Linked DNA regions of Notamacropus eugenii. The protein of the gene in region 1 interacts with the protein of each later gene in a pairwise test. Links are inferred from orthologs where the notes say so. Each region holds a gene or a part of one and is shown on either strand. Other genes may lie near its edges.

Region 1 (3,752 bases):
AGCCAGACCATAACCTGGTTATTTTATGGATACTTACAAAAACTGTTCTAATGTTCTGGATTTGCCAGTTTTCATCTCAAGTTTCTCTCACATCCCAAAATAAATGAGTGAATGGAGAAAAGGTACAGAAGCAATCTAGGCCCAAGATGCAAGGTCACTGATTGTGTTAAAAGACGGCAAAACTACCATCCCTTTCCTATATAAATGATACTCAAAATCTGAAAAGGGCAAAATGTGAAAAGTGCCCCATATTCTAACATACTCCCCTCAGGGCAAAATGTGCAGTCCCTGCAAATTACTTGGAGTACACCAGAGCATCTGTGGCCAGAAGAGGATGCCCAGAAGAATTCCAAGGGAAAGTACAAGCTGTTACTCCCCCTGACTCCGTAGCCAATCATCTTCAAGATTCTCCTCCTCTGACCAATCAGGAATTGCTGTCCCTTAAGGAAGAGGCCAGTGCATATGTCGCAGAAAAAGGGAACCGAGTGTATCTCCACCTCCCATCAACAAGTTGCATCACTTGCCACGTAAAAACATGAGCCAATTCAGTCCGAATGTTTTAGTAAACTAAGACAAAAACAATACCCCATAACTTTTAACACGTAAGATACCACAAAAGGTACTACAGTTTAGACTTCTGCCTCTCACAGTCCAAGCACAGAATGACTGCAAGGAAGAAGACTGGGCAGGAGTGGGCTGGAAAAGCTGCTTCTTCCAATCACCTGATTGGTCCTCCTGTTTGCCAGTCAGATGGAAAGGGGTGGAGCCCCAGAACACCGCGCTTAATGTAAGGACCGCTTCTGATGACGTCATTATAACGCGACGCAAACTGAAGCGCGAAAGGGGGCGGGGCTCAACAGGAACCTCCGCAGCAGTTGGGGAGGTGTCATGGCTGCTCCTGTGGGGCTATCGGGGCACCCCCGAGGCGTTGACAAGAACCCGGATCAGAGCTTCAGCTTCTACCGCGAGGTGCTCGTTGGTTTCCTCCACTCCCTTCGCACCCTGACAGGGCAGGTAAATGACGGCGGTCTCTCTCTCTCTCTCTCTCTCTCTCTCTCTCTCTCTCTCTCTTTCTCCCTCTCTCCCTCTCTCCCTCTCTCCCTCTCTCCCTCTCCTCCCCCTCTCCTCTTTCCCTCCCTTCTCTCTTCTCCCTTTCTCCTCTCCTTTAACCAGAAATGGGGGTTGACCGAGGCTCAGAGCTTGGGGGCGCTTTGGGGATTCCCGCCCCAACTACAAGACCATTAGGGTTCCACCGGGACTTCTCTGCTGCTACAAACCTGCTCAGATTTCTCTTAACACTCATTTGAGGGGTGACTTAGGGGGATTCCCCTTTCTTCTCCCCCCACCCCCCCAAAAAAAGAGAAAAAGAAAGGCAGCGAGCGAAGAAGTGGGCAAGAGAACCAGGCCTGGAGAGGAGGAAGGCGGCTAAGCCCCCTCGGTGGGGCCGGCCGGAGCGGGGAGCTCAGGATCGGGCGTCTGAGGTGGAAGAAGCTTCGCTTAAGCCTCTGTGAGGAGAAGGAACCCGGAGGCAGCAGAAGCCTCCTCTCTGGGGAAAGGTTGTTCCCCCGCTATTTTTGTGATTTGATATAATGAATACTACTTTTGTTTACGTTTTTTTTTGCCTAGGGAGTCATACAGCGTTTATTAAAAAAAATAATAACTTATTTACTCATCTTGAGACTAGGATACTTTTGATGCCTCTTGGGTGTAGTTAAGACGAATTGGGTAATGGAAGACCACTTAGTCGCGGTGTTTGGCAATCATTTTTACTTAAAAATGCAGAATTAAAAGCCGGTTATTTATTTACATTTTTAAAACTCATGTTTAAAAGAAAAAAATTAAGCACTTCTTGTAACCATCTGTTCAATTCCTACTAGGAGATCTTGGCGTATTTAAATTATAATTATATGACCTAAATAGAAATTGGACATCAGTCTTTTTTTTTGGTTAGTGACCTTTCATTAGCATAGAAAACATTTTAGCTGTTAAAAACAAATAGAAGTCTCCCAAGTACTGGACCCGATAACAGTTGCCTTAATAATCAGTGTGATAAACTAAGTTCATAAAATAATCCAAGCTTCCGATTTGTGATGGTAGCTTTGTTCTTCTGATTATTTTTGCAAAGTGTGTTTGTGTGGGGTAAGAAAAAAATTCACTTTTCTTTTTATCCATCCAGAGTTTGTGATATTCAGCCAAATTTCGAGCAGTTATTTGTGGAAATCATTAAGCAGCATGCGTAGTCAGACTGTTTTTTTCAAGTACTTGATAATTATACTTTTTAAGTTTTTGAAACGATATGACTTAAAAAAGAATTTTATTTTAAACGTTAACATTTTAGGCCTTAGCCATTCTAACTTCTTTTAAACAAAAGATAAAAACAAAGCAGTTAGAGCGTAATATTGTGAATTAAGATGGGTTATTATAAATATGAAATTACACAAAATTCTGTTATTTGCAAATGAGATAATTTTTTCGTATGATAGGTGGAATTTTAAAAGAAAGTTCATGCAGTAAATTATATGAAAGTTAGTGCAGTGAATTATGTAAAAGTTTTCACATTCCAGAGATATTTTCGAAAGCATATTTCCTGCAGATTATATTTTTATGTGTTTTCCAGAATCTCGGTTCCTGTATTGTCCCTTGAGTAAAATTTACATATTATACGTCACTGTCAAATGTGTAAATATTATTACTTGTATCTGACACGAAGAAGATGATATCAATCAAAAATTAGGTCAGTTAGATGGTTAATCAAAATATACTGACCACATTGATAATTGTCTGTGTTTTTGAGTTATTATTTAGAGATTTGAATAAAAGCAAAAGTACTTATAGTATCACTTTAGGTCATTATTTGCTTTTGCAAGAAGCTAAATCATAAAATTTGCATGGTCATCTTTGCTTAAGGTTAGTGTTTATGATGTTCCTAATTACTGGTATTGTTTGTTAGGGAACACAGTTTTAAATGTGTTAATGTACATGCTAACTCAAGTCGTGAATATTCTTAATTTTTAACTTTATAGTTTGTACCCATTAGCCCTTTGACTATTTTTCGTTTGTTTTGAACTTGAATATTTTAGTGCTTTTATTAATTTCTCTGCAGTGGCAAAAAAAAAGGGGGGGTCCTATCAATGAAAGGCTAATAAAGGTTTTGGAGTCAGTCAATTCTTACATTTTCTATAGTACCAAATGTTTAAATTAATCTTGTTAATTAAGGTTACAGTGAATAGTCATTTTTTTTTAGTTGAAATTAAAATTACCCTTGTATTTGAGTGAAGGATTACATGGGGTTTTTTTAGATTCTTTTTTTAAAAATGAAAACAATTACATTGAATTGAAATCTTAATGCTTTTATAATAAAATTAATATAACCTTCATTCTCTACAAAAATTTATTGTTTGGACTTCATGGATTCATTACCAAGTAAGGTGCTTATATTTACTGTAATCAGATTTTTTGGTAAGATGTACAAATACATCAATTCAGTGAATATATTAAAGGTTTGTTATCTGAAATCTCTTTATATGACATTTTAGAAAATACACATTGAGATTAATTCACACGTCATTGCCTCATATTTCTTTCTATATCTCTGGAATAGACTTTTAAAAGTTAGAACCACAATCTAAATAACTAGTGTCTTTTATATCATGATGTTCTTCCATTTGTAGCAGAACCATTTTGAATTGTTTTGCAGTGGGTTTTTTTTTTTACATTTTATCTCCTGCATATAAACTTATGAAGGATTTATT
Region 2 (3,752 bases), on another chromosome or scaffold:
GTGAGGGAGGGCTGTGCAGGTCACCGGCCTCACTTCTCCTCCAGAGCCATCTGAATCCAGTGACCTGATTTTCCTCAGGATGACTGGAGATGGCCCAGGATCTCTAATGGCATGGTCTTCTTTGGCAACAAAGGAACATGTTCCTGCCAAATGAGCTGGAGAAGGAAATGGCAAACCACTCCAAGATCTCTGCCAAGAAAACCCCCAAATAGGGTCACAGAGAGTCAGACATGATTCAAACAACTGAACAACATTGGGTTTGAAGTCAGAAGCCCTGGGTTTGAATTCCAGTTTTTCATATTTACAGTTTTTTGATTTGTAACCTTGACCCACACACAACTACCTTGCTTGTAAAATGAGAATGGTTGGACTGGAAGATCTCTGAGTCTCTTTCTAACTTCCAGTCGTAGGATCATAGATTCAGAGTCATCTAGTTCAGCCTCTTCATTTTACAGATTAGTAAACTGAGGCCTGAGGAGAGGAAGTGATATAGACGAGGTGACATGATCTGGAGGAAACTGCTATGTAGAGTCAGAGGGGCTGGACTCTAACCCCAGCTCTTCCATTTATTACGTCTAGGACACTGAACAAACCACATCAGCTCTTCAGGACTGTTTCCTCAGCTGAAAAAATGAAAGGGTGGGATGGCCTCTCATATCTCTTCCATAGATTTATGACCCAAAGTGTCAGAGGCAGGATTTTGAACTCAGCTCCTCTGACTCCAGAGCTCAGGTAATTGAGACATCCAGATCTGTGAAGCTAGAACCTTGTTTCCCTAGATGTGAAAGGGCTTGGTACCCTCTACAAATGGAAAATAGGCCCATTTTTTTCCATCCAAACTCAAATCCAAGCTGCCCTCTCCCCAAAGCCAGGGGCCAGCTATCTAGAAAAATCAGACATCCCTGAAGTCCTGACATGGCAGAGAATGAGTGAATGGACACAACCCAGTGCCCGGGGAGCGCTTCATTGTCTGGCTATGCAGAGGCCCTAGTCCCAGAAGCATCTCCTTTCAGCTGCCCTGAATGAGGAAGGCCATGGAAGGCCCAGAACAATGGGGCCAGGACCCTGAGCTGACAACTTTCCAGAGGCAACAGGGGCAGAGGGGGTGGAGGCAGAGGGGCAGAAAACAAAGAAACAATGCCCCCTCCAACAAATCATTGCCTCATTCGGGCCAGGGGATGAGAGAAGGGAGAGGCAGTGCCCAACAGGCTCCAGTGCCAACATGCCCTTCCCAAGGCGTCGGTCTTCGTTCTTGGGGTCCCACTCCTCAACCAGCCTTGACAGTCCAGGGGCCTCAGGCTGCCGGGTCAGTGTTATAGGGAACAACCTAGGCAGCCTCCCCAGGCCCCCAGGGGTGTATGTGGGGTCAGTGCCAACTGGAGGAGTGAGCAGCCTGGGCACCCGAGTGTCCCGCCGGGCTCTGGGCATCAGCAGCGTCTTTCTGCAGGGTCTGAGGAGCTCATCCACAGCCCTCGCTCTGAGCCCAGGACTGGAAAAGAACAGAGGCATCTTCTTTGAGTCCCTGAATGGCTGCATGGTAGAGTACATTGAGAAGGTCCGAGCCTTGGAGCAGGTGAACAGGGAGCTAGAGGAACATCTGCGGGTCTACTTAGAGAAGAAAGCCTCCAGCATCAGCAACTGGGGAGCCCTGCGGGAGACCTGGGAGAGCATTTACCATCAGGTGAGTGAGTCAAGCTGGTGGCTCATGAGGTCAGACCCTGCTTCCCTGGGGCCAAAAGGCTTGGGAAAGGAAGCACACCCACCACCAACACAGTCCTTTGGTGTCTCTTACCTAGCACCTCAGGCATTGATACTGGAAGGAAGGGAAAGCTGGAGCCAAGCCATCTGGGAAAAACTGCATCCATATACAAATGAACAAATCTATTTACATATATATATATTTTTTTAAACTATTTATCTGATTTCATACTCTACTGCCCCATCCTCATTCTACATTTACTGAGAAGTAGCCTGTACAGTGGATTGGAAGCTGGTTTCGGAATCAGGCAGGCATGGGTTCAAATCCAACCTCTGACACCTACTATCTATGTGACTCTGGGCAAGTCATAACCTCTGAGAAGTTGCAGAGGAGGTGCTGACCTGGATTGGTAGAGGAGGTTTCTTCCCTGAGAATTCCTTATACCAATAAAGTCATAGGTCTGGTCTCCATCTCCCCTCTTAAAAAAAAGAAGGATTTCCATAAAGTATATGACTATACCTCTGATCTCCTCCACATTGCCCCTACTGTCTCCATCACAACTGTTTTAGAGTATTAGAACAGCATCCTAACTGGTCTCTCCCCTCACCAATCCATCCTTCACCAGTACCCCAAATAATCTTCCTAAGGCACAAGCCTGACTACTGATTCCCTCACTCAGAATAGTTCAGATGCTGAGAATACAAAGACACAGATGAAAGATTTTCTTCCTTCTTCCCTCTGCTGGAGGACAGAGGATGGGCAAAGATTAGCCAATGCAGGGCAGCTTAAGGAGACAAGTGAGGGTCAGGACAGTCATGGGATGTTGAAAGAGCTAGTAGAGTGTTTGCTCACACAGCATTATTCTGAAAAGAAAAAACTGGGCCAGTTGGGAAATAGTGTCAAAGAAGTGAGTAGGAAAGCAGTAGCACACCATCTTTTAAGTCAGCAAGCATAGGTAGCCTTGCCTTAATTTCTTCTAGGATGGCCAGTCAACAGGTAGAAAAGCCCCAAATTCAGCCAATCACTATTCATTTTGGTTTGTACTGCAGTAAGCAGCCAGATTGTTTGATTTTCCTTTCTAAATGGATTATTGTTTCAATCATGTATAGACACAAGCTTGTAATGGGCCCATCAGTCAGCGAGTATTTATCCAGTCTATCGATCCAGCCCTAATCCCCTCTTGAATTCCAGTCGCCCAGGATCAACTGCCTATTGACTGTCTCCTCCTGGATGTCCCGTAGACATCTCTAGCTCAACCCTTCCAAAAAAGGAATTCATTATCTTTGCTCCTAAATTTTTAAGTGCTGTGTAAATGTCAGTTATTATTATTCCTTCTGTCCTTTCTTTCTTGTCCCATTTTGCAGCAGACTAATCTTCCTAATTCTATTTTTCTTAGATTGATATTAAATTCAACAAATTTCCCACCCCCCCTTTTTTGGTTGAGAGCACTTCCATCCTCTTAGCTCTTAAAATTCATCTCCACTGAGTCAGCTTCCACTCCTCCCTCTCCCTCATCCACCATATCCAGTAAGTTGCTTAGTCTTCAGTGCTTCTACTCCCACGCCTCTCTTGTGTCCACCACCTTCTCTCTCCTCATTGGGTCACTATCCCAATTCGGGTCCTTGCCCCTCTCTTGCCTCAATGACCTCCCTTCTTCCTGTTACTCCCCTTTCTGATCTATCCTCTACACCAGAGGTGGCAGACTCAGCCCACACCAACACAGCTCTCCAGTGCAACCTGAACCAGACGAAAATGTAATTGGGAAAAGTTTAACAAAATAAATAAGAATAGAATTCAACATGAATAATATGAATTTGGGGTTTTCTAAGTCAATATGCCAATTACAGAGATCCATTTCTGTCAATGCTCTACACAACTGTCAAAATCATCTCCCTCTGAACCTCTTGGCTCCCTATTGTCTACAGAATAGAATACAAAGTCCTTGGCCTGATACCAAAATCTGGAGCCAACCTACCTCTCCAAACTCTCTTGATATTAATGCCCCCCCCCCCATTCTTCATGTTCCAGCTAAACCAGACTACTGAATACTGCT

The links.
Region 2: the proteins of MBIP (region 1) and BFSP2 interact in binary tests that used the Homo sapiens proteins (3 or more experiments, as listed by UniProt). The two-hybrid records come from large-scale screens. The link is inferred for Notamacropus eugenii from reciprocal best matches to the Homo sapiens genes MBIP and BFSP2.

What each region holds. Positions count from the first base shown.
Region 1 is NC_092872.1:329,005,531-329,009,282, reverse strand, and holds the start of MBIP (MAP3K12-binding inhibitory protein 1), read left to right. Parts: upstream 1-817; 5' UTR 818-888; coding exon 889-1,014; intron 1,015-3,752. UniProt on the Homo sapiens protein: Inhibits the MAP3K12 activity to induce the activation of the JNK/SAPK pathway. Component of the ATAC complex, a complex with histone acetyltransferase activity on histones H3 and H4.
Region 2 is NC_092874.1:41,694,900-41,698,651, forward strand, and holds the start of BFSP2 (phakinin), read left to right. Parts: upstream 1-1,222; coding exon 1,223-1,681; intron 1,682-3,752.